Alligator mississippiensis: one gene and its partners. The main gene of each other region encodes a partner of the protein of the gene in region 2 in a complex. Links are inferred from orthologs where the notes say so. Each region holds a gene or a part of one and is shown on either strand. Other genes may lie near its edges.

Evidence for each region.
Region 1: TRRAP (region 2) and MBTD1 share a complex: the UniProt entries of both Homo sapiens proteins name them as parts of the nuA4 histone acetyltransferase complex. The link is inferred for Alligator mississippiensis from reciprocal best matches to the Homo sapiens genes TRRAP and MBTD1.
Region 3: TRRAP (region 2) and VPS72 share a complex: the UniProt entries of both Homo sapiens proteins name them as parts of the nuA4 histone acetyltransferase complex. The link is inferred for Alligator mississippiensis from reciprocal best matches to the Homo sapiens genes TRRAP and VPS72.

The regions. Positions count from the first base shown.
Region 1 is NC_081831.1:10,354,122-10,361,267, reverse strand, and holds the start of MBTD1 (MBT domain-containing protein 1), read right to left. Parts: upstream 3,013-7,146; 5' UTR 2,869-3,012; coding exon 2,848-2,868; intron 1-2,847. Other genes in the region: UTP18 (U3 small nucleolar RNA-associated protein 18 homolog), read left to right, coding at 3,408-3,638, 5,870-5,997, 6,153-6,248. UniProt on the Homo sapiens protein: Chromatin reader component of the NuA4 histone acetyltransferase complex, a multiprotein complex involved in transcriptional activation of select genes principally by acetylation of nucleosomal histones H4 and H2A.
Region 2 is NC_081836.1:47,844,303-47,852,329, reverse strand, and holds the start of TRRAP (transformation/transcription domain-associated protein), read right to left. Parts: upstream 3,087-8,027; 5' UTR 2,984-3,086; exon of another isoform or gene 2,979-2,983; intron 2,660-2,978; 5' UTR 2,604-2,659; coding exon 2,504-2,603; intron 1,590-2,503; coding exon 1,540-1,589; intron 1-1,539. Other genes in the region: TMEM130 (transmembrane protein 130), read left to right, coding at 5,453-5,665. UniProt on the Homo sapiens protein: Adapter protein, which is found in various multiprotein chromatin complexes with histone acetyltransferase activity (HAT), which gives a specific tag for epigenetic transcription activation.
Region 3 is NC_081838.1:20,096,342-20,103,536, forward strand, and holds the start of VPS72 (vacuolar protein sorting-associated protein 72 homolog), read left to right. Parts: upstream 1-4,183; 5' UTR 4,184-4,259; coding exon 4,260-4,373; intron 4,374-4,720; coding exon 4,721-4,873; intron 4,874-5,270; coding exon 5,271-5,382; intron 5,383-5,512; coding exon 5,513-5,692; intron 5,693-6,341; coding exon 6,342-6,486; intron 6,487-6,983; coding exon 6,984-7,195. UniProt on the Homo sapiens protein: Deposition-and-exchange histone chaperone specific for H2AZ1, specifically chaperones H2AZ1 and deposits it into nucleosomes.

The sequences.
Region 1 (7,146 bases), on a different chromosome or scaffold from region 2:
CCCGTGCTTTCTAGGACGAGCACTCTGGCAGCTGTTAACTGCTGTGACAGCATGGATTTGGAGGCATAGAGGAAGGTTTCAAATATCCAGATCCAAGTCTATTCAAAATATTAACTACACTCGCCAAATCTTGAACAGCTTCCAGATACGAGAAAGGAACCACTACAGTGCTTTCATAAAGATTACTAAAGGCTCATCTCACAAAGATTTGCAGCTGCACCACACAGACCTCAGCTTATATTGAAACTTAACCCCAAAATATGTAACTATATTATAGGCAGCTGAGGCACGGATCAATACATCGAGGTCTGCATTAGAGGGGAGAGGTGTAACCTCTAGGACAGTTGCATCACATCAGAGGCTACTACTAGCACCTAGTACTACCTGCATGAATACAGGAGGTAATGCACCTCCGCAGGACCTACAAGCTATTAACCGCAAACAGACTCAATTCATCAGACATTTTATCACTGTACAATATTTTTCTTTAAGTTTTATAAGAAATTTGACATCCATACTTCTTTTTTTTTTGGTTAGAAAAGACTTATAAATATACATGGTAAGCTCAGTCCTAACTCTAGATGGGAGTAAACTGTAAGCACCAGCAACTGAAGTGATTTTTTTATTATTACATCTCTTTCACACAAAAGCTAACCAAAATCAACTAGAACCATTGGAAATGTGCAGATTTATTGTATGTCTGCCCTCTCTGGTTCTGTGAAGCTAAAACCTTGTCAGAACGTTACAACTATCAGAAATGCAAGCAACTCAGCAGCAACTTAAAGGCAACATATGAGGAGATTTATAAAAACATCTCTTCCGATTCCCACTTTTTACTTCTCCTCTTGGGAGGACTCATTTCTAACCAAGAGTGTGTTGCCAATTATTGCAACAATTAAAAGTTTCATCTGCAAAAATCATTACACAGTTTTGCCCTTCAGTTTGTGCACTTAACAGCGCTTTGTCTATTGTCAGTCTCACCTAGCTGACAGGGGCCTTCTGAGGGTGGAAGCAATCCTCACATATTAGAGGTGTTCTTTAAAAAGTTAGGACTGGAGTACCACTAGAAAATTGCAATTGCTTTTTAAAAACTAATTAGATTTCAAATTGATGCCAGAAACACAACAACAAGAAAAACAAATCCTACAGAGCAAACAGAAGTGTCAAGATAAAAAGAAATCATACATAAGTGGGGAATTATCCTAACACTTAAACTGTGTTGTCCCCTAAAGTCCTTGGGCAAAGAAAGCAGAATACTAGGAAAAGCAGGAAACGTAGGAGAAAGCAACAGCTTCGTTTCAAAATACAGTTCAGCATCAGCAGGCAAAAAAATAACCAGCTTAAAAGCAGAAAGCCAGCAGGAAGTTCAAAGGCAAGGATGCTCGGGGGCAATGTCTTTTATTGAACCAGCTGCACACTGCAATAAAAGATATCACCCACTAGATCAGTGGTTCTCAACCTTTTTCAGTTGACATAGCCTTTGGTGTCAGAGTGAGACTTCATGTACCCCCTTTCAATGGGAAATTAATTTTTTTAGGCCCTTCGACCTCTGTTAGACAGTGTATGAAATATATCTCACGTACCTCCGAATGAGGCTTCACGTACCCCCGGGGGGGTACGTGTATCCCCGGTTCAGAACCGCTGCACTAGACCCTCACCTCCAACATAGTGTGGTGACCATCACCACTCCAGCAGCACCACCCTACCATGTTCAGGGCACTGGGTGGGCACCCTGCAGGACTGGAGTCAATTTTCAGGGAGTCAAAAACCAGGGAAGGCAAGGAAGGGGACACCTCCAACTTCTCCACCTCCCCAGCAGTTACGTCCGAGGAAGTACAAATCCTGTTTTCCAGGTCCTAGTCGTGTCCCACTGCACAAGGCTGGAGCGTTTCAGTACCAGGACCTAGATGATGTTGGGTTTTCTCCCACGTAGCCACGGTGTGAAAACCAGAGACTAAAATAACAGCAGAGCACGAAGCTCCCAGGCTGGCATTGCAGAGCGACAGCTGTACTCCCCTTCACGACCTCCCGTCCCTCTGGTTCTCTCCCGAGCGGCTCCTCTTCGCTCCGACGTCCCGTCAGCCCCAGCCGCTTTCCTGCTCCCGACACGACAAACCCCCTTCCCGCGGGACGTCCCCTCCCTACAGACGGCGGCTGCGGGGTCACATCTCAGGCCCCAGCGGCGTCGCCAAGCGTCCGACAGTTATCCTATTTCAACCCTCGTACGTGTTTGTACGTACGTATCCATCGCACGCGCTTGTACAAACACACGTGGATTCGCACGTTCTCTCAACGCTGACGTCCCGGCAGCCCCAGGCCTTCCCTGTCCCCGGCATGACCGACCGACCAACCTTCCCGCCGGACGTCCCCTCCTGGCGCCCAATTATCCCACCCGTGCCATCGCTTCAACCCTCTGCACGTACGTACGTATCCGCCCTGTGGATGTGCACGTACGAACGAACCCACGGACTCGCACCACGCGCCGCAGCAAAAGCGTTCAGAAGACACGCACGGCCGTTCGGGAGGCCGCGCATCGACGCGACCCCTGAGTCGCTCTTGCCGACACGAGATAACGAAGCGTTTTGGGGAGCGCGGTTGGCGCGGGGAGGCGGCTGGTTTGCAGACCGAGGGGGCTGCAGCCTCTCTTCCCAGCGCACCGGAGTTGTCCACGCTCCCCACACGCTGGCTGCCCCCCGGCCGGGCTGGGACGCGCTCCCCCGCCGCGGGAAGCGGCCCGGCCGCCCCGGGCTGTGGGGACGAGGCGAGGGGGGAGCGAGCCCGACGCTCCGCGAAACTTTCCCGGGCCCAGCCCCCTCCCGGCGGCCGCCCCCCGCCCGCGCCGCTCACCAGGTCCTTTGTGTTTTCCATCAGGCCCTCATGGGCAGCGGGCGGCCGCCGCCGCGCCCGGCCCTGCCCCCGGCTCGGCCCGCGCCGCCTGCGCGCCCCCCCGCCGGGCCCGACGTCCCGCCGCGCGCTCGGGCCACAGAGAAAGAAACCCCAACTCCCCGGGCCAGACTATCAACAACATTAGCATCCCCGCAGTGCGCAGGCGCGGCGAGAGCCCCGGCCCCGCCCCCCGGGGCTTTGCGGCCCTCCCGGCTCGCCGTACTCGCCCGGCGCGCACCATTCCGCGGTGGGGGAAACGCGCGGGCTGCGCTGCCCGGCGGCACACGGCTTCACCTGCTGGTTGTTGCCGAGCTCCTGAGGGGCACGGCGGGGCGGCTCCGTCTCTACAAAGTTCCTGGAGGAGGAGGAGGAGGCGGCAAGCGCAGCCTACAGCCCCCCCGCGCAAAGGGGGCGAATGGACCGGTCCAGCTGTCACATGGGGCAGGAAGCGAGGCGTCACGTGATTGGGGTGGGATTGTCACGTGAAGGGGTAGTGTCACTTCCGCTTCCGCTGAGCGGCTATGGAGGAGCAGGTGGTAGCTGGCGCCGGTATCCTGCCCGGCGCGAAGCGGCGCCGGCGGCACAGGCAGCGGCTCGCGGGCGGTGCGGAGGCCGGCGAGGGGGCGCGGCTGCCGGGCGCGCTGGGCGAGAGCGCGGCGGTGGAGCGCTGCCTGGAGGCGCTGGTGTTCGGCGGCGTCCAGGAGGCGGGCGAGGCGGAGCTGCTGCAGCGCCTGCGGGGCCCGAGCCAGCAGGTGAGGCCGGGCAGGAGCCTCGCTGCGTGCCCCCGCGCCCGCGTGGCGCCTCGAGGAGCGGGTGGAAATGCGGGGGGAGCCGGCAGACGGGAGGGGCTCCCAGCCCTGGGCCTTGCAGCGGGCGCGGGAGGGGTCTGCCAGGCGTCCCACGTGGCGTCCGGCCTCCATCCTGCTGCCCTCGTCCTCGTCCCCCCCTTTCTTTCTCCACCCTTTCGTTGGCGATGTTCATCCTCCTGCCCTGGCTGTTCAAACACACTTGCTGCCGGCCGCCTTCGCTTCTTAATTGTGGCCCCCGTCCTAGGCGGAGCTGGAAGAGACCTCCAGCGGTCACCGAGTCCCGCCCCTGCGTGAGGCAGGATCGTCCCGACCCAACCGTCCCATCCGCCCGTCGTCTAGAGCAGACGGGTTGCGCACCGCTGATTTAAAATGAGACCACCTTTACCACCAGTGACTTACTCACTTCAATCTGATGCATTTTTGTCGTGTTTAAGTAGTTATTAATTGTTAATGTGTACTGCTGATGGGTTGTCTGCGTACCGCCGGTGGTGCATGTACCGCAGATTGGGAACAGCTGGTTTTGAGCAGTGGTTCTCAACTTTTTTTTGTACTAGGACTCGTTTGTAAACATCAATGGCTAGTCCCGACCCGGTGTCCTTCACTCCCAAAAGGCTGCCCCCAGGCCCTACCCCCCCCCCCCCTTTTTGCATGGGTATGGGGCAGCAGGGGCCCTGAGCATCTCCTCGCAGGCTGGGACTCTGCCATCCAGCAAGGGGAAAGCCACGGTTTCCCATGTTTATCTCTGTTAAAGGAGAATCCATTTTTAAAGTTTGTTTGAGACCCTTTCATATGTTCTTGCAACCCACTTTTGGGTCATGACCCACGGGCTGAGAAACGCTGATCTCATCTCTACGTAAGAGTAGATCATGCACTGCACGGCCCCCCCCCCTCAGCCTCCCCAACCTAGGGCTGCACCAATAGAGAGGTTTTTGGGGCCAATACTGATAGCCAGTTTTTAAGGAAGCGTATCCGCTGATACCAATACAGCATGGAGAGCTGTGTGCAGCTGGTAAGTGTGTTGTGGTGGAAGGGGAGGGAAGAGGTGTGGGGGCCCAACCTGCAGCTCCAGATGCTGCTCCAGAATTGTGCCACAGAGACGGACGCATGTGGTGCAGATCCCAGAGTAACTGGAATGGGCACCTCGTGGCTGTCAGCTGGGGGCATGTAGATCCCAGACTAGCCAGAGCAGGTACTATACTACATGCGGTGCCTGCCGTGGCCCGACAACTCTGCACACAGCACCCACTCTAGCCAGTTTGGCACCTGCACTACATGCAGTGCCTGCAAGCACCGTGTGCAGTGTGGGTCCCAGACCAGGAGTGGCACCATGTGTAGCACAGTTCTCAGTGGGGGTGCCACATGTGGTGCAGCCTGGCCAGGGAGGGTACTGGCCGGTCTGAAGTCTGTGCTGTGCACCCCCTGTTATAGTGTGCTGCACACAGTGCCTGTTCTGGCTGCTCTGCGATCTGTGTGCACACAGCGTGGATCCCACAGTGGCTGGAGTGGGTTTTGAACCCAGAATGCCAGGGGAAGGGAGGGGATTTGCAGGCCTGATTCGGTCTGTGGACTGGCTCTGCACCACTCGTTCAGTCTACAGTGATGGATGAGTTTGACACCTGCTACAACTGCTTTGTAGGCAGCCTTTTTTACTAGCCTGCTTTACCTCTCATGAGTCTGTCTTCTAAACTTCCCCTTCTGAGGAAATGGTTTAGCGATGAATTGCCATAGGACTAACATTTGTTTTTTCTATGTGTTTGTCTTTACAGGAGATGGTGATTGTTTACACTTGCTTTCCTGAAAAGTGTCTTCTCAGTTTACAGTTGTTAAATTTGTTATTTTAGGATATGTCTACAGGTACACTTGGAGCTATTTCAAAAGGGAGTGCTTCAAAAGGACAGCAATTATTACTTTATAATTGTTATCTGTGAAGGACAAACTGGTACAATTGTAACACAACTGCTCCAACTTTAACACTGTTTCAACCCCTGCTGCTGCTTAATAAAGCAGCACTGAAGTGGGAGTGGTCTTGCTACATTTCTATTGTTGCTGACTTGTTCCTGAATAACAATTAGGAGGTAACAGCTCTTGCCTTTCGAAGTGTTCACCTCTTAAAATGACTCCAGGTATACAGGTGCCTGTACCCTTAGACTTATGTGTGTTTGTTTGTTTTTAAGCTTGATGGGGTAATCAGTGGAAATCTTCTGAAAGGGGACTCCAGTGATTCAGAAGATGAAGCACAAGACAATTTTCCTCTATCTAAGAAACCAGCCTGGGTGGACGATGACGATGAAATTAAAGAAAAGTAAGTTCAGTACGTAGCGACCAAAAAGGGGGCAGGAGAGGTGGGACTTTGATTAGGTTCCTTTTTAACTGCCTATTTCTTGGAGGTATACTGAGAACAAAGTCATTAAACTTGCAATTTTTTATTCACATCCTAAATATGGCTCTGTTGTCTAGGATTGATATGACCCATCGGTATCGGAAAGACATGATGAAGAGTGATGCCGAGAAGAGTCTTACCAAAGAAAAACTTCAAATAAGACTTCAGGAACAGTAAGGTTTTTTCCTATACAAACAGATTTTGCTAATCATAAATCTTGCTGCTAATTTCAATAACAAGAATTGATCTAATAGCAGTATTAAAAATGCCTCCTTCCCCCCCCCCCCCCCCCCCCCCCCCCGACAACACCTAAATACTCAGCATGTTGCAGTGAAATTTTACTTGTGCTTTTGGAGTAAGCAACCTTGATTTCCTTAGCATTAATCCTGGCATTACTCCTTGAAAGAGAGGATTTGTGTATTTTCTTTTCATTCCAAGGGCCCAGTTTCAAATTTGCGTAGGTATTGTTTCACCAATGCATTGGAACATAGCAGTAGTTTTCGTGCACAGCAATACAGTGGCGAGTAAGAAGGGAATATAAATAAGAAGTTGCCTGAGGGAGGAAAACAGTAGCCGAGTAGAGATCTGACAGTTGCAGTCAGTGCTGGGTCCTAAAAGGAGACAGTGAAGTGTGTTAATCAGTACTATTAGGGAGGAGTGTTTAGTTTAAAGGAGAGAGACAACATTTTGGTGAAGACAGAAGTTGTGAGCCCAAACGTACAGTTTTGTGAATATAAGAAAAAGTTGCTGCCACTAGAAATGTAAATACCTTTGTATTTAAGGGCTTTCTGGAATACATGTGAACATAACCATGTAGGAAAATGTCACTTGTTCAGTTTTGAAGTTACTTCTGTACTTGGACACTTGGAGTCTGTCTTTCCATGGTTAATAAAACCAGCGTGCCCAAGAGTATTTTATAGTTACAGCAGTTTGATCTCAGGCTGTAGAAAGTGTATTTGGTGGGAGCAGACTAGAAAAGCCCTTTAAAAGAAGGAAAGGACGGTTTATGGGTGTCAGGTAGGAGTGTGGAACTCTGTCAGGCACAAGATATTGTTTTCTACAGTGATGGTT
Region 2 (8,027 bases):
TATTCTGGTACAATACCATGGAGTCACTTTTAACCAGACATCTCAGATGTATAGAATCAGAGAAAGTGAGGGCTGGAAGGGACCTCAGGAGGTCATTTAGTCCAACCCCTTGATCAAAGTAGGACCAGCCCCAACTAGGCAAAGCCCTCGCTGGGATGATCTAGCCGGGTCTTAAAAAGCCTCCAGGAATGGAGAGTCCACCACCTCTCTGGGTAACCTGTTCCAATGTTTTACTACCCTCCCAGCGAGAAAGTTCTTCCCAATATAGAACCTAAACTTCCCTTGTTGCAACTTCAGGCCATTGCTCCTTGGTGTGTCATCTGCCACCACTGAGAACAGTCCCGCTCCAACCTCTTTGGAACCACTCTTCAGATAGTTAAAAGCTGCTATTAAATCCCCTCTGAGTCTTCTCTTCTCCAGACTAAATAAACCCAGGTCCCTCAACCTCTCCTCACAAATCAAGTGCCCCAGCCCCCTAACTATTTTTGATGCCCTCCACTGGACTCTCTCCAATTTGTCCACTTCCTTTCTGTAGTGGGGAGGCCCCAAAACTGGACACAATACACTCCAGATGTGGCCTCAGCAGTGCTGAATAGAGAGGAATAATCACTTCCCTTGACCTGCTGGCAACACACCTACCAATGCAGCCCAGGATGCCATTAGCCTTCTTGGCAACAAGGGCACACTGGTGGCTCATATTCAGCTTATTGTCCACTGTAAAAGGAGCAAACATTCCAACTCTGGTAGGACTTGAACCCACAGCCTATGAATGACCTTTTTACTGTAGAAGCCCAACGTGCTGTCCACTGCACCAGCGCCACCCTGATTCAGTGCAATTCCCTTTGTAAATAATGCTATGTCGTAAATAGGCAACCAGTACTGCACAGTTTCAAATACTGCATTATGTATAGTGTCCGCACAATATAATGCAACTATAACTTCTATTAATATGCCTTTGTTTCTTCTTCTGCATCCCACGCGGACATATTATCTCCTCCTTCTTTAAAGCACTAAGAACTGAAAGTAGTTTGTGCCACCACCTCTATTTCATTAGAGCCTCCAAAAAAGAAAGCCATACTAGACAAACTCACCTTTCCTAACCATGACACTTCCCAAAGCAAATGCAAAGCAAGCTATACAGTCCACTACCAACTGACCATGAATTCAGTTAAAGAAAACATTGTAGACTTTTGTTTAAAGTGCAGAGAAATAAATATTCACTATGTGTCACTTCTTCATAAAAATAAACTTAAGAAATGTTAGAATAAAATGATTCTTTACATACAAAAGAAGAGGGAAACAATAAGCTGAATAATTATTTTAGTAAGTTGTTGGTAGTGCACTGTAAGAAATAAAATGAGGTTCTCTTACACATGGAACCCACTATGAATGGCTACTATGTGCAAATACAAACTAATTTCCTAAATGAAAGAACACCAGAAAGCAACATGATGCACACAACCACAAGAAACAGTGCATTTAAAATAAAGTAAATAAATAAATAAAAAAATCGCTCAAACAGTGATTTTGTTTAATTACCTCAAAATTCTCACTGACTTCTTGCATCATTTTCAGTTTGGTTTCATCAGCTGAAAAAAATTTCAAGTGAAATCAATCAAATATTTGGAAAAAAAATACTCTCAAACAAACACCAAATTCACAATGGGAAGAAGCAATCAGATCTTATCAGTTCGGCTCTCATTGCCCAATTGAAAGGTACGCATTTCTCACAATCGCCACACTCAGTCCCACCACTTCACACACACACACACACACATACATGCACGCACACTTCTCTCCAGGGCTCAAGCGACTTATGTTCATCATTTTGCTTCTTAAAAAAAGCCAGGCTCAAAGACGCCGCAAATGAACTCCAAGCGATTTTACCAACTCGATCAATACGATCACCTTCCCATGGGACACTTATATACAATTTGCATCCAAGGCCAAATTAGCCCAAACTAATTCCAAATCCAGGAGTCCAGAACCGTAAGCGGCCCTAGTACCGGCATACAAAAAACTAGAACTCTTGGTTCCAAAATTACATCGTTTATTAGACCAACTGGAAAAATCGCAAGAAAACTGTCCTTTTCTGCAAGCTTTTGGGAGTTTTTTTATATCTTCTTGTGTCAGACCAACACGGCTACCAAGTGCACCCCTACTACCAGCAAACATCCTCCACCCGCACCTGGGGCTTCAGATGTTTCCAAAACCTTTGGCGGGCATCCTACGTGCAGGACCAAGCCCGGAGGCTCGGGGTTCGGATGCCCCCGAGTTTTGCTTGCCCTCAGCCATCAGGTCCTCAGAGCAAGCCAGGGAGAAGACTCCAGGACCTGGGCTTAAAGCTGCTGCACCTTGGCGGGCGCCGAACCACGCCAGACGAGCGGCTCTCCTGCGAGGCAGGGCAGGACACAGGTACGTGGTGTTCCCCCGCCAGTTTAAGAAGCCACGACGCGAGCCGGCGAACGGTCCCGTTCCCCGAACAAACGGCAGACGAGCTTACGCGTGTTAACGTCCGTGAGAGCGGCCACAAACTGCAGGTATTTTTTCATCAGGGTGGTTTGGTCGACCACCGTGGGCCCTTGCGTCGACACGAACGCCATGGTGTCTCTCGGGGCCGGCGGGGGGTGCGGCGAGGACTCGCGCCAACGAAAACCAGCTCAAAAAACAAAAAAAAAATTTTTTTTTTAAATCAACCATCTGCGGAGACCGGACAGGGCTTCCACCCCCGCTGCGGCCCGGCCCGGCCCCTGCCGCCGGGACCCGCATCCCCGCCCCGGCACCCTTCTGGGAAAGGCCCCGTTCATTTAATGCGGGTCACTCGGCCCGGCTGACCCGCCCACACCCGGGCGAGGCCTGCGCTTTCCCCAGCTCCCTACAGCGCAGCGCAGCGCAGCACGGGCCGGGCCTGGCGGCGCACGGCTCCGATCCCAACCGTCTCCAACCCCCTCGCGGCCCGGGCCCTGCCCTCACCTCACCTCACCTCACCCCGCGGGCCGCTCCCGGCCCGGCCTCCGCGGCCCCGGCCCGCTCCTTTGTTGCTCCCCGGCCGGGCTGCGGCGCATGAGCGCCTCCCCGCCCCCTCCCCGCGGCGGAAGCGGCCCCCCGTGCAGTTCCGGCGCCGCCGCCGCCCCGAGCATCCCCGGGCCGCGCCGCAGCCCGCGAGCCCCGCCCCCGGCCCCGCCTCCGCCTCGCCGCGCAGGCCCCGCCCCCGCACAGGCCCCGCCCCGCCCCGGGCTTGGCGGCCGTGCTGCGGATCGCAGCGCGGTGGTAGCCGCGGTGATGCGGAGCGCCCGGCCACCAGCACTGGTGGGAGACGGGAGATCTTGCATGAGGCCGAGGGGATTTTTGCAACCAAGAAAACAAGTCTTTAATTGCAAGCTTTGTGGGGCACGAGCCCCCTCCCTCCTCGGGCGCTGCAGAAGAGAGGGCCAAAGCCCTCGTGGAGTGACACGGCCGTGCTGTACGAGCCGTCCGTCCTGGGCAGACGCGGACCCTGGTTCACAGCGCTTCACAGAGGAGTCAGTAGTTCCAGGTCGTCTGCACCCTGGCGGGAGCTCAGAGCCTCCCTCCCCCCCCCCCCCCCCGCTATGAACTGGTGGCCCAGCGGGGTTTTCCATCGGATTTACCGCACAATCCGTCCCTGAAAACCGCATCTTAAATTGAAACGTTGTAACTCGGAACTGATTTTCCCATAGGAAACAATGTTATAAATGGGGCATTGGTTCCTGAACAAAGGCCTGATACCCTATTTTCACCAAAGATACCCCAGAATGTTGTACTCAATCAATTACAGATGAGGCATATAGCTACTTTAATGTATTTATATTGTAAGTGGCAATCATACTGATTTGATAGGACTTCTTTGAGGTGACTGCTGGATGCTTGGCGGGAGTCTTTTCAGGAGTCCTGGCTGCAGGTGTTTCTGGGGCCTCGTCTTTCTTAAAGAAAGTGTCCAAGGAAGTTTGGAGAGATGATCTCCAGGGAGATGACGACGCAGAGAACTTGCTTGCTGGCCTGGCGTCAAGCGTTGTAAAGTTGAAACGGTGGCAATTTATACATGTTGTAAGTGCAAAACGTTGTAACTCGAAACGCTGTAAGTCAAAGGCTGCCTGTATTGACTCCTCTGTAAAATCCTATGAAACAGGAGCTTTCATTTCTACCCAGGAGAGCATTTACCATCTTTTCTCCGATGCCTGATGAAGGGTGTTTGTGCTGGAAAGCTTGCAATTAAAGACTTTTTTCTTTTTTTTTTGTTTGCAAAAAGCTTGTTGGTCTCATAAAAGATCTCATCTCTACTGTGAGTCCTGATTGCCTTCTCATGGCTCTTGGGAGAAGCCCAGAGGGCTCAGTGCCGTCAGGCAGTGGGGGAGCCCCCAGCCACCTGGGTTGCTGCTGCCACATTCCCCCACCCCTCGGGGCTGCATATATGGCCCTCCACACTAGACCCCACATGCAGGGCTTGATCCAGGCCCTGACCCCACAAGCAGCCCCAAGCAAGCTTTTAGTATCCAGCCCCCTTCCCCAGAGATAATGATCCTAATCATCCAAAAATTACCATATTCAAGCCCCCTTTCTGTCTGGACACCCACTTCACTTATAACTGTGTCCAACCCTGCCCCCACAGCCACTGACCAGCCCTGTGCCACTCATCCAGCCCCTGGGGCTAAAAGACTGAGCACTGCTGGTTTAAGCAGTCAAATCCAGCCGCTGCTGAGTACTGAGAGCCAGACACTAGATGGATGAGCACCATGCAAGAGCCCAGATGAAGGGTAGCTGCTGGGAGTAGTTGGCTTCAGAAATATAGATATGACAAAGTGACTCCAGCACAGTTGAAGCTAATAAGCTACACAATCAGCCAGGCACTAAACTGGCCATTTTGTGATCAAGCCACCTGTTTCTGTGCCACTTCACAATAAAATGTTTTAATTCGCCAGTAAGGCAATGTCCCCAGCTTCCCTTCTTCTGAAAACCGGGTGGGATGCAGTTCGTATCAAAGCCCAAGATCAAAAACTCCCTGCCCTACAAAGACATATGTCCAAGCATGCCTGTAAACAGTCCCACACAGAACCCATTTATTTACCCATTAAAGCATCCAGTGCTTGTACGAGCAAGGTCTTCAATTCTGCTTCTTGGGATTATGTCATTCGTTGTGTTCTTAAAATCAAAACCATCTATTTTGCTAAGAGGTATTTCCCCACATACACACTTTTAGGAGAATATAATCACCTATTTCAGTGGTTCCCAAACAGAGTGCACACCGCCAATTTAAACCGATACATAAGTACCACCAGCAAATTTTTCAGTTCAACCTTCGGTACCACCAGCAAAAGTGTGTCAGATAAAGTACTTATAATCAATCTGCAGACGTGTACCGCTGGCGGTGCCCATACCACAGATTGGGAACTGCTGATCTATTTTGTTGTAGATGGGGATATAAAAAAAAAGGGCGATGCAATGCCCACAAAGAGCCTGCGGGGGAGCTGCTGCCGCCCAGCTCCTGGCTGTAAAAGCGGAGCGAGCCCAGGTGGAAGATGAAGTCTGGCTCCCAGAGCTGAGCAGGCAGCGGCAGCTCCCCCGGGTGCTGGCTACAGATGGCCCAGGCTTTTCTCCCCCCGAGCATCTTCCAGGTGGTTTGCGTGGTGCTGGTGCTTTCCCATTTCAGGTCAGCAGCAGGTAAGGTAGATCCGCTCCCCTCTCCATGTAGGGGGTTACTAGAAGGCAGCCCTGAAAAAGCAGTTCACCCCTGCTAAAAATGCACCAGGCTTTATTCCCAGGTAAACCAAAAAATGACCAAGCATTTCTCTGGCTTGCTGGGGAATAAAATGATCAAGCTGGGTTTGCACTGTCATAACCTATATATTGAGACAGTCCTTGTAGTTGCAGGGGAACGGATTAGATGAGCTAAGAGTGGGTTTCTCTTTTTTTTTTTTTTTTCTTCATTGCTAATTTCTACAGTGCCAGTCTAAAATTGGACTGGGATGTAGCTCAGCTGCCTGGAGTAGACAGTAGTTAATTATAAGGATGCCTCTCTGTTTTCCTCAGCTGGATGACTTGTGTTTTCAGCCTGCTTGTGCAGGAGGGAGCAGATGGGAAGGGATCTGCCTGCCTAAGACGGCACCTTCCTGGGGGGAGCTGGCAATGAGCTAGTTCTCTCATGAACATAAGGCAGCTTTCCTTGCCCTACATTCACGGGGGTGGCGCTTGCTTGCTCAAGGTAAGGCTCGCTGTCAATGTTGCTTCCCAACTGGGAAGTACCTCTTCTCCCTGCCAGCTCCTACACCCAGGGGTTACAAGGCACTCAAAGAGTCTGCATCTTTCTGCTCCTTTTTAATGCTGGTGCACTTCATCCTGCAAGGGGTAGAAGGCAAAGAGGAGTCAGGAGAGTTGCATTCAATACCACCCTCTGCTGCTGACTCACAGGGTGACTTTGTGCTAGTCACTTAATCTCCTTCCAAGTCATTTATCAGACTTCATTCACTGTCCCCAGCTTTGTTGAAGCACTTTGAAAACCTCCACCAAAAAGTACTAGATAAGCATAAGGCTCTTTCCCTGGTTTTCACTTCTTTTTTTTTTTTTTTCTTTTTTCTTCAAGTCACATGAACAGGGAACTGTCTGAGGATTAACACTAGCTAAGTTTTTTTTTTTTTTTTTTTTGTTTTTTAAGATCCGCCTCATCGGTGCATTATCTCAGTATCTGCAAACCAAGAGTTGCTCCATGCATTCTCAAATAAAATAGAGAGCATGAGAAGTATTTTGTTGTTCTTGGTATTTCTGTTGCAGTTTGGTAGAGCAGGGCTCCATCCAACCCTGCCAGCTTTACTTGGCACTTGGGCTTTGGGAAATGAAGTTAGAGGAGTTATTAGCAGGGGTGGATTCTCTTCCTACTGAGCCTGGCAGGTGAAAAAAGGTTGAGACCGGAAACCCCATGTCCCTTCCTACCTGATAAGCTCATAACTGGCTTCATGTGAGGAGGGGAAGGAAATATGACCTCCTTATAATCCTCTCAACGGCAGAGAAAAGGAGGAAACCACTTTAGAAGTGTATGCCCCCATCCACCCTCACAGCAGCAATGATTTCTACAAGGGGCACCCTCTATCCTTACTGTACCAGTACATATGAGAGGATGCTACCTAGACCAACCTGCAAATGGAATCGGCTGTATATCAGACCTAGACCCTGTTTACAACTCTGCCCTGCTGTTGAGCCATGTTACCGTGTAGAAGCCATTTAACCTCATTCCACATCAGCTCCATTAGCTGTAAAATAATGCTACTTACATATTACACAATTTGCTTTATTATTATTTTAATAAAGCACAAGTCTCTTCCTTCTCACTGCAGTGACTAACAAGTTTAAGGGTTTGAGGAACTAGCTTGTGTAAATCTGACAGGACACACAGGAGTAAGCAATTGAGAGTAGTAATGCAAATAGAAAAAGCCTCAATCTTACAAGTGTTGCACCCTCTCATTGTTCTCTACATCAAGCCTGGAACTAAGGTTTGTTAATATGGTTTATTTAGGGGAAGGTTATCCTTCCCTAAAGCAGATAATGCATGCAGCTTAGCAATTCTAATTTAAATTAGGCCCTTGGTTCTTTCCCAAACTAGAAGAGAACAAGAGAGCCAAAAAGGCCTATACTCTGGCCTCATGACTAATAAAGACAAAGGAAAAACATGCTTTGATTGGGATGAAAACCTATGACAAGTTTTGATTGAACTCATCTCTGCTCAAAGACATTTGTTAAAGAAAGGCTGTAGTTGGCACAATTTCTGCTATATCTCCAGTTCCTCTCCCCACTTTGAGCTTGCAGCCTTTTTAAACAAAATGAGAAAAGAAGCCGTGTCAGATGCGAGGGAATAGAAGTGTAGCTATAAAAGCCCCACAGTAGCAGGGGTAATGTGGTAATGGAAAGGGATTCCCTGAGTGTGGTGCAATGACAGTAGTGTATACTATTGAATTTCAGTCTTGTTTAAAAAAGCCACAATGAGATGCTACTTTTTGTTAGCTTAAAGTATTAATACAAGC
Region 3 (7,195 bases), on a different chromosome or scaffold from region 2:
GCAAGGGTTTTCCAGGGATGATCCTCCTTTGAGCAAGGGGCTGGACTAGATGCAACCTCTGGAGGGCCCTACCAACCCTGCTTTTTTATGACCCTAAGTTAATGCAGACATTTGTTGTATCTATCAAACCTTTCAAATGACCTGATGGCAAAATGCTCTGGAGATTCCTGGGGTGTGAAAGCACCTGTTGAGTTCAAAAGCACCTAAGCAAAAGGAGCTGTGTTCACAGCAAATAGCTTAGCAACCTGGTAAGTGGTTAATCATGCATCTCCTCAGTAGTCTTGTGAGGTGCTTCTGGGTGTATTGCAAACCTCATCTGAGATCACCTAATTAGGCACAGACGTGTGCCATGAACACACGGAGACAAATCCAAGCCCCGTGGGAACTGCTGCAAAGTTCTCTCAGGAGAGACTATGCTGTTGAAAGTTGAGATTTACCTTATGTCTCTTTTCGGACGAAATTCAGTGGGTGTCATGGCCCTGAACTTCCATGAGATTGTGCCTGCTTACACCATGGCTGAACTTGGCCTGCAGATCCTTGTTTCTGAAGCCAGATACAACTGTCCCTGGGTGCTGTTCTTCACATGAGGTTGCCCCACTCAAGTCCGATCACAACAGGCTGCGGTGGATTTTTCGTGATAAAAGGAACATGGGTTTCAACACCCCTCGAAGCATGCACTATGAAACCTGAAATCGCAGGGAACCTGTCAATCAGCTTTTGCAAATTTGCTAAAAACAGATCTGAACAAACCAGAGGCTGATCTTTGGTTCTGATTCCAAGTGAAACTCAGAGTTTGGGGTGAGAATTCATAGAATCAGAAAATGAGGGTTGGAAAGGACCTCAGGAGGTCACATCTAGTCCCACCCCCTGCTCAAAGCAGGACCAGCCCCAACTACATCATCCCAGCCAAGGCTTTGTTGAGCTGGGTCTTAAAACACCTCCAAGGATAGAGATCCTACCACGTCTCTGGGTAACCTGTTCCAGTGCTTTACTACCCTCCTCATGAGAAAGTTTTTACTAATATCCAACCTACACCTCCCTTTCTGCAACTGGAGCCCATTGCTCCTTGTTGTCATCTGCCACCATTGGGAACAGCCCAGATGCATCCTCTGGTAGATGAAGGCTGCTAGTAAATCCCCACTCTGTCTTCTCTTCTGCAGACTAAATAAGTCCAGTTCCTTCAGTTTCTCCTCATAAATCATGTGCCACAACCATTTTTGTTGATCTCTGCTGGACTCTCTCTAACTTGTCCAGATCCCTTCTGTAGCAGGGGGCCAAAACTGGCCACTGGACTCCAGATGTGGCCTCACCAGTGCCAAACAGAGGGGACTAGGAAGACAAGGTTCTTTGGGTAAATCTGATATCTTTTATTAGACCAGCCAAAATTGTTGGAAAAAATCTTATTTGCAAGCTTTCGAGTACAAACACTCTTCATTTCCCTCTATCTGCTACAACGAACGCTCTTGATCATGCAGCCCAGGATCCTGTTAGCCTTCTTGGTGACAAGGGCACACTGCTGGTTCATATTCAACTTATTGCCCACTGTCACCCCCAGGTCCTTTTCTGCAGAGCTGGTGCCCAGCCAGCCACTCCCAGCCTATACTGGTGCATGGGCTTGTTCCACCCTAAGAGCAGGACTTTGAACTTGTCCTTGTTGAACCTCATGAGATTTAATTTGGTCCAATCCTCCGATTTGTTAAAGCAAACATTTGATTTGTTCTGGGACCCCAGGCTGAGTTCCCCAAGACATTTCCAGCAGGTTTGTGTGGGGCATTGAGATGTTGGGAGTTAAGGCTTCACAGCAGAATTCTTCAGGGAGATCCCGTTTCACTGCAACCATTGTTAGCAGCGATAAAACAAAAGGGAAAAGGTGCGATAGATCCATGGAGCAGAGTTTAAAGAGCTGCTGTTTCTGTGCCAGCCATTAGCCAGGAGGTATGGCAGGAAAGCTAAAGTCAACAGCATAAAAGGGAATCTAATGAGCCCTGGATCAGGAGTTGAGACCAGAGGTTATCAGGTCCCTGCTGTGATCAGACTAATCAAGCTGGCTGCCAGCTGCTGCTGGTAAGCTGAGATGCACGCACGCTATCCCTTGGCCTTGGCAGAGTCCCAGCTCTTGCCCTCACCTGTGGATGGACCCCCCCAGGCCATGAACCTTGTGGGGGCAGAGGCCCCAGTAGGGGTGGATCCAGGGGGATGCACTGATGCATGCGCACCTCTCTGATTCCTGCTCCACCCAAAGTTTAAAGCCTGCAGTGGCAGCAGTGTTTCTAGTCAGGCAGCGCTGACAGATCAGTGGACTTAATGGCTCACTTTCGTCTACCTGCTTCCTTCTGAACTCTTCACTCCGCAGCTGTTAACGACCCTCTCTCCTATGTAATGGCCTCAGTGTTCCCCCAGTCCAGCCAGGACCCGCTCTGCAACGCTCCTGGGCACGGAGCTCCTATTTTACAGCCCTGCTGACTGCCTTGAACTCATTCCAATAAAGTTAGATGGATGCAAAAACAAATCTTCAAGTGAAGACTACAGCCCCAGGCCCATGGCCTAGTAGGAAAAGGACGCAAGAGTAGGGGTTGACGTCATATACAGACTTCAGGAAGGCCTTCGATATGGTATCCCACCCCATACTGGTGAACAAGTTAAGAGGCTGTGACTTGGATGACTACACAGTCCGGTGGGTGGCGAATTGGCTAGAGGGTCGCACCCAGAGAGTTGTGGTGGATGGGTCGGTATCGACCTAGAAGGACATGGGCAGTGGGGTCCCGCAGGGCTCGGTCCTTGGACCGATACTCTTCAATGTCTTCATCAGTGACTTGGATGAGGGAGTGAAGTGTACTCTGTCCAAGTTTGCGGATGACACAAAACTGTGGGGAGAAGTAGACACGCCGGAGGGCAGGGAACAGCTGCAGGCAGACCTGGATAGGTTGCACAAGTGGGCAGAAAACAACAGGATGCAGTTCAACAAGGAGAAATGCAAAGTGCTGCACCTAGGGAGGAAAAATGTCCAGCACACCTACAGCCTAGGGAATGACCTGCTGGGTGGCACAGAGGTGGAAAGGGATCTTGGAGTCCTAGTGGACTCCAAGATGAACATGAGTCGGCAGTGTGACGAAGCCATCAGAAAAGCCAATGGCACTTTATCGTGCATCAGCAGATGCATGATGAACAGATCCAAGGAGGTGATACTTCCCCTCTATCGGGCGCTGGTCAGACCGCAGTTGGAGTACTGCATGCAATTCTGGGCGCCGCAATTCAAGAGGGATGTGGATAACCTGGAGAGGGTCCAGAGAAGGGCCACTCGTATGGTTAAGGGCCTGCAGACCAAGCCCTATGAGGAGAGACTGTGGCACCTGGACCTCTTCAGCCTCCGCAAGAAAAGGTTGAGAGGTGACCTTGTGGCTGCCTATAAGTTCATCACGGGGGCACAGAAGGGAATTGGTGACTTTTTATTCACCAAGGCACCCCCGGGGGTTACAAGAAATAATGGCCACAAGCTAGCAGAGAGCAGATTTAGACTGGACATTAGGAAGAACTTCTTCACAGTTCGAGTGGCCAAGGTCTGGAACGGGCTCCCAAGGGAGGTGGTGCTCTCCCCTACCCTGGGGGTCTTCAAGAGGAGGTTAGATAGGCATCTAGCTGGGGTCATCTAGACCCAGCACTCTTTCCTGCCTATGCAGGGGGTCGGACTCGATGATCTATTGAGGTCCCTTCCGACCCTAACATCTATGAAAACTTCCAGTTTCTTTTCACCGGGAGAAAAACGTGTGATGTGTCCTTTGGGAAAATGAACCACAGCATCCGCACCCCTTTTACCTCGGTCTCAGACCGTGGCTGAAAGGCTAAAGGGGCCCCAACACGTGGGCATCTTTCCCTGCAGGGTGGCAGGGCCCGCCCCTGGGTGCAGACATGCAGATCTCCTGGGGCAGCTGCCGGGGGAGCAGCATGCGCGACCCCCCGGGCGCCCAGCTTAGGCTTGGGGCGCCCGCAGCATCTTAGAAGCCAAGCAGGGCCCAGAAGGGTCAACACCTGGATGGGAGACCACAGTGGTGGGTTAGAGTAGGGGCGGGGCCACTGCGAGGAGGCAGCTCGGGGCAAGCGAGGCTCCACCCTCCTGCGCAGCCGCCAGCGATCACTCAGCGTTCGATTGGTTCCCGGCGCTCGCCTCCCGCACCACTCTCGGCGCTCCCAGGCCGCGCAGTGGCTGGCCGGCGGGTCGATCCCAGGCCGCGCAGTGGCGGGTCGGCGCGTCGCTCGGCGCCATGAGCCTGGCGGAGGGGAGGGCGCCGCGCCGCACCGCGGGCAACCGGCTCTCGGGGTTGCTGGAGGCCGAGGAGGACGAGTTCTACCAGACCACGTACGGCGGCTTCACCGAGGTGCGCCCGCACGCGGGAGGGACCCCGGGGAGGGCGGAGTTTGCCAGGGCGGGGCCTATGGGGTCATTTGCTAGGGTGGAGTGCTACTGGGGGCGGGGCCTACTGGTGGGGGTAATTGGGGGGCAGGGCCCACTAGGGTGGGAGGCATCTGGGGTGGGCACTATGGGGGGTTGGGGCATAGGAGAGTGGGGGAGAGGTTTTGGGGGGCACTTGGGAAGGGCTGGAAGAGGGGCGGGTCTGTGGGGGGTCCTTTGTGGCTGGGGCACGAGGCCCTTTGGGAGGGTTGGGGAAGGGGCCGATCCGGTGGGGGGGCCGGGGCTGACGGCAGTGTCCGGGCGGTGCCGCAGGAGTCGGGGGACGACGAGTACAAAGGCGACCAGTCGGACAGCGACGATGAGGTGGACTCGGACTTCGACATCGACGAGGGCGAGGAGCCGGCCAGCGACCAGGAGGACGGCGAGCCCAAGCGCAAGCGCCGCGTGGTTACCAAGGCCTACAAGGTGTGGCCGGGGCTCTGCTTCCCGTGGGGGTTTGGGGGAGGGGAGGCGCCCGCTCCACGGCGCAAGGGGCTGGATGTCTGGGACAAAGACCCAGGCATCCTGTGCGCCACGGGGCTTCCCGTCAAAGGGGGCTACAGATGCACTAGGGTCACCTGGATGTTTGAGGGAGGGGCGGCTGGGAAGGGGGTAAGGCCCGCTACAGCGGGAAGGGGATCGTTGGGGAGGCTTGGGGTCTGGACTCAGCAGCAGAGTTGGGGTCTGGCCTCCTGGGTTGCCTCCCTGGGAGGAGGAGGTGCCTGGTGGTAAGAACTGACCCATGAGGGGTAACAGGTGAGGAAGGTAGCATCCCCCCGGCAGCTCTCCCCTTCCTCACCCTGCTCTGCTGTGACTCCCCCAGGAGCCCCTCAAGAGCCTGAGACCCAAGAAGGCCGATGCCCCCAGCGGCAGCTCACAGAAGGCCCGAGAGGAGAAGGTGGCACCCCTGGAGCTGCAGGATGACGCTGGGGACAGTAAGTGCATGCATGGCACTCGCTAGCAGAGCTCCCCTGGCTCCTCTGTCTCTGGGAGCCTGGGGCTGCCTCCCTGCTCTGTGTCCCCCGTGCCCCCTGACCCCCCCCCCCACCTTGTTGTCCCCACCAGGCCGCAAGCACATGCGCCAGTCGACCACAGAGCACACCCGCCAGACATTCTTGCGCCTTCAGGAGCGTCAGGTGCAGTCCAAGCGCAAGAAGGGCGGCCCCAACTATGACCGTCCCCTGACACAGGAGGAGCTGCTGGAGGAGGCCAAGATCACAGAGGAGATCAACCTGCGCTCCCTAGGTGAGTAGGACCATGGCCATCACCCCATAGGGTACAAGGAGGGTGCTGGGATGGACCTGGGGCTATGGTCATGGAGGGATAGGGCTGGTGGGACCATGGCCATCACCCCATGGGGTACAGTGAGGGTGCTGGGATGGGCCTGGGGCTATGGTCATGGAGGGATAGGGCTGGTGGGGCTCACGGGCAGCAAAGGACCCCAGAAGACAGAGGCATTAGAAGCTGCCAGCCTGGGTTCCCTACCCAGAGGAGAGCAGGATGTGGTGGTTAGCGGTGGCTAGGACTCCTGGGTTCTTTGTCCAGCTCAGGTGCTACCTGGCTGGGTGATTCGTTTCACCGCTGACCCTCAGTTTCCCCCCAGTGTTAATTGGAAGTCTGCGGGTGATGTGAATGGGCACTGTCTCTTCTCACCGGTGCATGGTTGGGAACTAGATGATGATTGTGGCTGGCTCTGCAAAGGCTGCCTGCTAGGGGAGACCCCTGTCTCCCCCCTGGGTGGGGGGCACTGACCCGCCTGCTGTGACATGTCACCTTGAGTTGTGTCCCAGTGGTGGGCAAGTACCTGCAGGAGATGGGGCCTGGCACCCTAGGCGCTGAAGTGAGGTCCCCCCCAGGCCCGCTGTGCTGACATCCGGTTTCTTCATCCCTGCAGAGAACTACGAGCGCCTGGAAGCCGACAAGAAGAAGCAGGTGCAGAAGAAGCGCAAGTGCGTGGGGCCATTGATCCGGTACCACTCGGTGACCATGCCCCTTATCACCGACCTGGGCGTCAAGGAGGAGAACGTGGATGTGGAGGGGTAGGTGTTTAGGGCGCAGGGGGACCCTTGGGCCCAGTCCAGCCCTTCTCCATAAAATCCTTGTGCCCCTTCCCTTTGTAGATCCTGGAGCTCGGCTCCCGCATACCAACCTCTGTCCTTGGGCACTGCCCCCAGTCCTGGCCATGGCATCTCGCAGCTGCCAGCAACTCAGCTGCAATGCCCTGACATTCTGGCTTGCAGCTGCTCTGAGCTGGGATGGTCTGTGGACCAGAGCTGTGTGTGTATGGATTCACATAGGTCTGCCAGGGTGGTGTTTGGGGCCTGGTCAGATCCTTAGCTTGTACCAACCTGGATTAGACCCCAGGCTCTGAAGGGCGGGGTTGGGGATGGGGATGGACTGACCCAAGCAGAGGCCCTGGGGATCATGTAGGTGGCTGCCATGAGCGCAGGTAGCCCTGCTCCCTCTCTCCCTGGATGCCTGTGTCTCCTGGAGCTGAAGCCCAGACTCACCCCAGTGGTAATTCCCCCATGCCCAGGTTGGATCAAGATCTCCACCAGCCCTCAGAGGCAGCGCTGGCACCAGCTGTGGCCCCCATCACTGGGAAGTGCTCACGCACCTTCATCACCTTCAGCGACGATGAGACCTTCGAGCAGCTCTTCCCCAAGGGGCGCCAGCCCCGGCTGCCTGTGCGCGAGATCTGCCCTGTGACCCACAAGCCGGCCGTGTATCGCGACCCTGTCACTGACA